Linked DNA regions of Oreochromis niloticus. Each later gene encodes a partner of the first gene's protein in a complex. Links are inferred from orthologs where the notes say so. Each region holds a gene or a part of one and is shown on either strand. Other genes may lie near its edges.

Region 1 (4,648 bases):
CCTCAGTGTGCTGCATCCCTCGAAATCCCTCGTCACATTCACTGCGCTCTGCGAAGCAGACACAAACATTGTGTTTCTGTTGTGTTTAATCAGCTACAAAAAATCATTACTCTTGCAAAGATGCTGTGACCCAGCCCAGCGATGAATTATATAACAATGGGTTTCAGTGCTTAATGCTCAGAATTTATCATTTTCCTTGGCAACACTTCCAAAGGCCTCATTATGATATGATTAATAACTTGTATCAGAATCTTTTGTATTGAAAATCCCTGTCCACATGGAAATATTACTATTAATGTAAAACTGCACACATATGACTATACATGATGATCTTACCCTCATCACAAAACAGACAGTTTGTAGTTGTGATGCACTGGATGGAGGTTTCTTTTACCATCTGGTTGGGATTGTGATTGTTAAGGTTAAATATTAATGACTTTATGTGATAACCCAGTTTATTCATCACAATTTTATTTACACAGTCCTTTCAAGGTGCTTTATAGTGAAAAGTATAGACCCTGCAGTGTTAGAGAGAGAATCCCAATAATCAAAAGATCCCCTGTGAAGAAGCACTTGGCAATGGTGGGAAAGAAGAACTGTCAACAGAACACGGCGTCCTGCAACAAACACTATAACCCCGGCAATATCCCAGTAAGGATTCATAGTCATATGTGAACTATGCCTGGAAGTTGGGAACACTTAATTTCAGATGCCTAACAGTCAGTTTCACTATATTCAATAGCAACCCACATAACGATGGACAAGTCCGAGTCACAGAAATCTGACTGAGAATACTTTGACACAGTGCTCACCTGCCGCAGCGTCTCCAGTTTCTTCAGCTGTTCGTTGTAGTTGTCCGGATTCTCTCCATAGTTCTTTAAGATGAACTAGAGAAAAAGAAGCAGAAGCAAAAAGGAGGTGAATGTGCTGCTGAAAATCAGGTAAAAACAAAATTAAATGAAGGGTTAGATCCTAATACAGAAATAAATATATCATTTCTAATACTGAGGGTTAAATTGTTTAGAAAAAAAAAAATTCAAATGTCTTTGAACTGGGGCTTATTACTCATTATGTTAATCTTTAGTCTTGAGCATAAGCCAAGCACTTAGACTCTTGGAGCTTCAAGACTTCCCATCATGCTTTGCCAGGACTCACACTGTCCCCCATAAGCCACTACAATAAGCTTTAAGCTACTAATTGTCAGGTCAGGAGGTAAACAGCCCTGCAGATACACTCATTCTTCTACTAGTGCTTTTGTTTCAATTTTAATTCAATCATGGAAAGTTCACAATGACAAAGCAAGAAGACAGACACAGTCATGTTGTTACTCCTTCAGGCCAAATATGTGCTATTGTGCATTAGTTTGGGGTAAACAGAGAAAATGTTGGCATTTTAGATACATTTTTAAAATAATGTTGTTCTGATCGACTACCCCTTATTTAAAGGCTACACTTTTAAGGCCAATAAAAATAATACAATAATCATTCTTAGTATTTTTTTAAAAAAACACTCTGTCGCTAAATTAAATCAAAATAAGTCTTACTATTACCAAAAAGAATTACTAATAAGAAAGTCTGAAACTGCATCTCCACCTCCACAGTGGCTAAAAATATACTCCACACCATGTATGAAGTGAATCCTTGGATCTAAAAGGATGTCTGGATCCAGATCAGTTTGTGACATTTTTGTGGAAACATCAAGATAACGTCTCTCAAATTTGCTTAGATAAATCTGACATACATTTGTGAAACAATGATCTCACAAGTGCAATTTTGTTCTCTGCGCCATAACGATTTGCTAACAAACAAACCAAACCAACCACATAACCCCTCTGATTATTGTATTTAGTCATGAGGACAAAGTCCTTTTACGTGCATGAGGAAGACGTTTGGGAAGACAAATGAGTCACCAGATAAAGATGATACCAGCTTTAATAAGCAGTCAAATGATCTGGAGTTTAAATATCCGAGATGAGCTTTGGAAGCAGTAGGCCTAAAAAAAATCTGTTAATATTTAATTTTCTTTCTTTTTTTTCCCAAGCTAAAAGCGAAATCCCTTTTTGACACCATACAGGAATAGGTTCTTCTAACACATGAAGGTTGTAATGTCGCCCAACAGGAAAAACAAAGCTTGGACTTGGATGCTCACATACACAAGGTTTTCTCCCAGAATGGATTTGAAGGCACCAAAAAAGGGCCCGAAACTTTTCGTTCTTCCTCTTTTTTAAAGGGTCTTTATCTTCCATATTTGTCCTCTATAATTTTGTTTGTTTCTGTTTTTACATGGCTTTATTTGTTTTTAACATGCGCTACATAACAGGATAGTTCACCTTTCTTACGGTTAAGGTAAGAAGTAGCGTCACAGGTGTAGTGACAACTTTCCCTGTGTATTTCGTTATAGAAGCTTATGTAAACCCGTGTTTACTATTAAGCAGGCTGGTAGTTTGAATAGTACAAACTGCTCCGCTCGCTCAGGTGCATGTGACAATGAGATCATTGTTTAATATTCTCATGTCGGAAGGCTGACTCGAGATGTAGGAGTCCTAGAAATACGCACATATGCCTTTCGCGTTGGCAGTATTTTGATCGATTCCTACAGAGCTAGCCACTTAGCTGAAAGCTAAATATCAACTTGAGTTTTTAGCTTATTACCAGCTAGCAAGCAGCTCGCTAACGTTAGCAAACAAAGGCAGTGAGCAGGAGGGGTTTGCCTGACACAGACCTTTGCTAGCACGTCAGCTACCCGTTCTGGAAAATTCTTTTACCCTCGACAGGTAGCGACAACTGTTGCTTTGAGTTATGGCTAGCGGCACCCTCTTGATAAGGTCATCCCTTCGTTCATAATCCTTGTTTGGTTGACTTTCGACCTCAGCCCTGTTGCTCCACTCCCCACCCAGCTCACCTGCCTCACGGACGGGCTGAACTGGAACTCCCCAGCCTCTTTCAGATCCAGCCAGATCATCGGCATCCGGGGGACCGCCTCCATCGCGGCCGAATCTACACGGAGCTGTCAGTCGGTCGGTGCGATGTCAAAATCCCGCTGACGAATTTGTGGACGTTAACGATTTTCCTGAAGATAGCTTTTCCCCCCAAACAACTGTGTCATGTATCCATTTACACTTCAACCGGAAACTGGGAACACACGTGACGCAGGCCTTCGATATGCTTGCGAGCGTTTCTGGGAAATGTAGTTCCTGAAGAAACTAGACTTAGGATATACAAATCACACTGGAAAGTAGCTAAAGTGTAATTTTATAATACAGCCGCAACTTATTTAAAACTTTACAACTAAATATTTTATAGTAAAAAAGTGAACCCAATATCATTGATTTTCTTGTATCAGAAGAAATGAGAAAGATACAAATTGCCATAGCAAGTGTGAAACTTTTTGGTTATACTTTTAATGATTTTTTTAATGATACATTTATATTATGTAAAGCTAATTGGTTAATGTAGTCGTAGTTTTTAACTTTTTAGTTTTAAAATATTACAGTAAATAAATAAATTAAACTACAACTGCACACTCATGTCTTTAAACTAATTGTTTAATTTAACATAAGAATTATTGTTTTAAGAAATAGTTTACAATGATACTCTTTTTTTAATGTTGAGCAGCCTATTGGTTATTTTATTTTCAGCACTTCACCAATGAGTGAATGATTCTCCTGGAGAGAACAGTGGTATGACAAGTGCATATTGGGCTGCAGATGCCGGGGATCATAATGTCAGAGTTCTGATAACAACCGGGTCACAGCCTGGGGAAGCTGTTACAGATTAATTATGGAATAATATTTAGCCTAATCCATAATAAGATGCATGTGCATGCTCGTCTACCTCCATGGACCACTGATTGTTTTGTCTTTACATTGTATTGGACCCTCTCACCATGCAGTAGCACTGAGGCAGTAGAGGGCTGAAGCCTCATACTGAGCAGGATAAATATTAAGAAAGTAAAAATAATATTTGAGCAGATCTTTACATATTCTTAATTTATTGTGGGCTGCCTACGTGTCCACCTATATCTTTCATACCTTATAGCTGTTATTAAGAAAAAAATAACATTTGCTAACAACATTGAAGGTCGGTGCCAATTATGATGCTTGTAAATTTAAAAAAGTGCTCATATATATATATATATATATATATATATATATATATATATATATACATACACTTGACAAAAGTTGTGTATATATTTTTTGTTTAATTATTTTTTGTCTTCTCTTTTACTCTTTTTACTCTCCCCAAGGCCAACATTTGTCAGATTACTGTACTTACTTACTACTGTGCTGTTACTGTACTGTACATACAGACATTAGAGTTAAAATTATGCAAACTGGGAATGAAGTTCTGTCTGTAAACAGTGTCACCTGTTAAAATGTTTTTTCTGGTAACTAGTGGCAGTTTTTGAAGGCACTGTGTATTTATGGCATGTTCACACAATCTCTGCATTTTAAAATAAGTGGAGAAATTGGAGCTTTCACCTTTTTATTTTTTTATCTTTTTAAAACAGCCACATCCAGGATAATTTATATTTATGAATTAAAGGACTGCTGCTAATGAAATGGGGCAGACCCATCTCCTTTCCTAAAGTAAAGCCGACTGTGTGAGTGAAAGTTATGATCATTTACATTTCTGTTACCATGGAG
Region 2 (4,648 bases), on another chromosome or scaffold:
TCTTTTAATGTTAGTATTACAGTACAATGTAACAAAATACACAACATTTACTAGCATTACGACTTAGAATAACGTAAACAGCATTTCAGCTGTCTAAATATTATAAGAAATTAAACTCATGTTGATAATTTTTGACAAGCAGAACAATGATAAAGAGGGGAAAAGTTAATAAAAGTGCTCTTCTGCATCATCAAAAACAGAGGTTGACTATCTAAAAATGGAAAAGAGGAAGTGAGCAATTGTACTCAGTTTCATTTAATTTCAGTTTTATCTTTCAGTTTTATTTAGTTTTATCATTTCTCCTATCATTATTATTATTATTATTATTGATACATTACAAACCAATAATAAAGTCATTAAGACTTTTATTAGTCTTTCATATCTGCTTGAGCACGTTACATTCTCCTATGGTAGGTTTGCATCCATTACTACAGTCACTGTTTTGCACTTTCCCGATCAGTAATTACAGGAACTGTTTATATTGCTTTTACCACTGCGTTATTAAAACTGCAGCCGGGTCTGCGAGTACGGAGGGGTTAAAAGAGTTTGGGTGCTTTTACACATCACATCCCATTTCATTGATCACCTCTGACGGTGCTGCATCGTGCTGATCAATTCCTCCATGCCTGTCATCCTCTGCGAGGGCTGGCAAGGTTACAGAGAGCGGGGATGAATGGCCATTTTGGCTCTAGGGTGTCGTGAGCGGGACGGAGCCGCGGACCCGCCCCGGGGCTCAGCACCTCACCCTCCGCTCCGTTTGAGCCAAAATGTCCCTGCTGCTGCTGCAGCGGCGGCGGCTGGACCACAGTGCAGGCTGGACGGAGCTGAACGGTTGGAGGTTTGTCAAGTTTGACACTAAGAGTTGGTTCAACACCGGAAACTGCGCGATTGTTTACGGGAAAGTAAGAGCTCAGAAATTAAACCTTAATAATAAGTGGGAATGGCAGTAAATCATATGTTACATACACGTGATAAAAGGCTATAAAGTGTTGTCCTTTGCAGAGCCTTTAGTTGCTTAAGTCATTTCTAAATAAAAAATACAGTCTGTTCCTCCTTTGCAAATATGTATGGGTTTAGCCTAATATTATAGACTGTCGAATAGATTTGGACACAGCCAGACCTTTCACTATATTACTTTTAAATTTCCTTATTTGAAAAGCATTTTTTTCCTGTTTTATAAACAAGCAAATAGTCAAATCTCTCCCTAATATTTAGGGTATTTCCCTTACAACACCATGAGGTGACTGTGGTGTAGAAATAAAACTGAATGAAATCATATTTAAAATTTGGGATGTTTTGTATTTCTTTTCCTGTAAATTTGCTAGTTGTTCTTTTTTTTCATTCATTATCTGTTGAATATATTCTTCTTCTTATTATTTAATACTAACATGGACTGGCTTTTACTGAAAGACACCTCCAAACATGTTTTAAGAATAAAAAAAGGAAAAAGAACTTTCCTGAAAAGGGTATTTGTTTATCTAGTTATAAAATAATACAATAACAACTTACACGTAAAACGTAGACACTTTGCTGTTACAGTATCAAAAAGATGGGTTGTTTTAATCGATATATTATCTGTAACCGAATTGCTTGTTTTCCTTAAATGTAAACATAGTAATTATAATTGTGGGTGGTTGGTTTATTTTATAAGCAGTTTGAAACAAAAACAACTAAGGATAAAAGAAAAGTAATGATGATATCCAAATTAATTAGATCTGCATTCACAGTTTTTCTCTTGGCGTTATAATGTAACCTCTAAGGGAGATGCTTTGCGTCTTATTTTGAAAACCGGTAGTTTAGGATTTCCATTTTGGCTAACTTACCGCTGCTCCTTCTTTTCCCCAGTATTAAACCTTGGGGGAGGGATCCTTGAGTGCTGCTGTCGCACAACTACGCTAGACTAGAAGCTTTACTTTTCGACTGTTTGAATCAGGCAGGCAGGCGGTGGTGGGTCTACGTGAGGCGGATACTCAAAAATAGCTCTGAAAGGCGATCAGGTATGGCGGATGCTAACGGAGGGGCTCCGCGGGACTTTACGTAAAGATGAGGATTCCTCCGGTGAGTAACTGGATTTGTTTTCGTGACATTTCACGGGTCTGCTGTTGCTTCAACGTTTACAAAACCGCCATTGCAACGCCAACTATCGATGCAGCCCAAGTGAGCGTGGACGGCTGCGGTGCTATCTTTTTTGGCGTATTTGGTGGATAAACGGTGAGGAATATGGAGAAGGTGCCGTTACGGTAACACTATATCTTACGTCTATTACACAACGCGCTCTCCTTTGCATTGCGAGCTGCGGATAGACAGCCAATGAGGTTGATAGCAGTGCGACAGGAGGAAAATACTTTGGTGTGGGTGACTTAATGTGAGGAGGAAGGCTTTTTATGGTTTCTATTAACCGTTATGACTGGCCATTAGCAACGGAACCCACCGAGTGACGGCGTGAGTGTCCGCCAGCGCAGCAAGTCTCTCCCGTCACTCGGCGCACGACTGCCCGCTCAATCTTTAGGTCTATTTCTAGCTTTCTCCAGTACAGCCAGCTGCTTTTAAGTGCTATTATTTGACGCCTAAAATCTCAGTTTTTGCCACACTGCTAAGACGAATGGGTCAGAATTGTTTTGGGAACTTAACTCGTGGCCTTTTTCGTGAATTTGGTTAAATTCAGCTAGCTGCCCAGCTAATACAACTACCCAAGTTAACAAACAAATAGACAAACACTTCACCGCTGCTGTTGTGTAGCTGCACCAGTTTAACCCACCTTCTTTTAATGACACAGAGTAGCTTTCCATGTGTTTTCCCAGTCTAACTGAGAGTGATCTTCATCCAGCGAGGCTGTGTTTGGCCTGCAGGCAGCAGGCACAGCCACAGTGCCACTTACGGTTGCATAATCCAAGCAAGTGGTCATCTATGCGCTCTCAAGGGTTGGTTTGGTGAGCTTTCCTGGTGCTACATCTTTGGTCTCTTTGCTTCTGACCAGGTCTTGGATGGTGAAGAATTTCAAAATCAACTCGGAATATGTTAAAAAATGTGCAGTTCAGTTAGGATTACTTTAAAAAAACAAAAAAAACAAAAACGTTTTGATTAGGTAAGTTATGCTTCTCAGGTTGAACAGTGCTACTTATGATTTCATAAGCTAATCAAATGGTCATCTATCTGCTCTGCACAAGTGCACATCTACAGTAAAGACCATGATCTTATTTGACGGATCTGTATCTTTTATCCTGGCAATTTCATAAAAAAATGATATTATGCCTTTAAAAATAAAATCCTTACACTTTCTAATAGATTTTAATAATACAAGGGGAAGGTGGGTTTCCCTTTGGTGCTGGCTTGAACCCCTCTGGTGGGTCAAGGAAATTCAGGTTACAAAATAATGGAAAACTAATTTAAAAATGGGTTATAGTAACATTTAGACTGGATTTTGATTAATGCTCTGCTCTATGTCAAAGTCCTCTCTTATCTATCTGCTGATGATGAGCAGTTTAAACATGGTCTGGTGCAAAATATTTGCAACACAAGTCTCTTCCTTTACAGCTCCCTGAATTACTGACCTCTTATGTCAGTGAGTAGTCTCTTACCCATTATGCTTTTCCTGTTTTTTGCCACTGTTACATGAGTGGATGTTCATATTACATATGCTCAAAGTTTTACAAAAATGAAAAAAGGTGAAGTAATGAAATAATGTCAGTGTTGTATATACAAGAAACCACTGTGAGTGAGTTGGTTTTGTATCTATGGTAGTTTAGTCCAAACAAACTTTTAACAGGTTTCTTGCTGATGCGACTTTTGCATTTGTTGTCCAGACTTTAGTCCAGGCCTGGAGGTGGATTTATCCAGAAGTAGGCCTGTCCCAGGGGCACCTTGAATAGTCATCAGCAGCGGCAAATTAAAAAATGAATTTGGGACCAAAGAAAAAGCCACGTCACCACCAGATATCCAAATGTATGTTTATTAATCATCTGGTACTAGATGGTATTTGGCAATGTTGATGTGAAAGTTGGTTTTTTTTCCCATGAAGCATTAAGATATCCCACTTCATCTTCAGGTGGTTATAAATCCCAGTGAGGATGTGTGATTCGACTGATCCAACAGACGTCCGTGCAGAGACGAGCTCTCATGTGTGCAGAGACGTCCCAGATGTAGGTTACTGTATGCTTTCAGAAAGAATTACAAGTCTCCCCAATGGCAGACCAGCAGCCAGTCTCCCTGTGCTGATTTTTCTTTCTTTGTAGTGGTGGTTAAATGTAGATCAAACATGAGGGAGAAAGGAAGCTCGTAATAGCTTCTGACACGTTCTGTGAAGCAGAGCAGCTCTTTATAACAGGAGGACAGCTACTTTCCTCCTTCCTCCTGAAGGTAAATCTCAGGGGATTTAACTTTTTCAACCTCCTGTCAAAGAAATTATTTTATTTTTAAGCGAGCGTGACCTTTCAGAGAATACAAACCTGTGGCATGTTTTCCTTTTATGTGTTTTTGCTTTTATTTATTTTGTCTTGAAGAGCAGAAAAAAAAGCTTAAAGGAGTAGAAGGAGGAGGTAGGACAACTCCCAGTGTACTTCCAGCCTGGGCGTTAAGCATAGCACACATTACATAATAATGTGTCACTCAGTCAGGCGATCATGCTGGTAGAAAGTGATGTCAGTCTATT

The links.
Region 2: the proteins of ptpn23a (region 1) and zfyve9a are in contact, whole or in part, in a crystal structure (PDB 5MJY), measured with the Homo sapiens proteins. The link is inferred for Oreochromis niloticus from reciprocal best matches to the Homo sapiens genes PTPN23 and ZFYVE9. Residues at the interface, in NP_056281.1 of Homo sapiens: Phe62, His125, Glu137, Lys141, Val142, Cys144, Thr145, His146, Gln148, Cys149, Leu189, Lys192, Ser193, Asp196, Arg198, Lys199, Leu202, Arg205, Ile206, Ala336, Leu338, Leu342, Asp348, Ala350, Val351; in NP_004790.2 of Homo sapiens: Glu2, Tyr4, Phe5, Gln6, Glu8, Ala9, Leu12, Asp13, Val15, Leu16, Asp17, Phe19, Glu20.

Annotation. Positions count from the first base shown.
Region 1 is NC_031976.2:31,628,870-31,633,517, reverse strand, and holds the start of ptpn23a (tyrosine-protein phosphatase non-receptor type 23), read right to left. Parts: upstream 3,150-4,648; 5' UTR 2,986-3,149; coding exon 2,902-2,985; intron 2,867-2,901; exon of another isoform or gene 2,722-2,866; intron 2,346-2,721; exon of another isoform or gene 1,017-2,345; intron 888-1,016; coding exon 813-887; intron 49-812; coding exon 1-48. UniProt on the Homo sapiens protein: Plays a role in sorting of endocytic ubiquitinated cargos into multivesicular bodies (MVBs) via its interaction with the ESCRT-I complex (endosomal sorting complex required for transport I), and possibly also other ESCRT complexes.
Region 2 is NC_031982.2:25,242,975-25,247,622, reverse strand, and holds the start of zfyve9a (zinc finger FYVE domain-containing protein 9), read left to right. Parts: upstream 1-1,796; 5' UTR 1,797-2,058; intron 2,059-2,088; exon of another isoform or gene 2,089-2,211; intron 2,212-2,758; exon of another isoform or gene 2,759-3,795; intron 3,796-3,803; 5' UTR 3,804-3,942; intron 3,943-4,045; 5' UTR 4,046-4,139; intron 4,140-4,145; exon of another isoform or gene 4,146-4,648. UniProt on the Homo sapiens protein: Early endosomal protein that functions to recruit SMAD2/SMAD3 to intracellular membranes and to the TGF-beta receptor.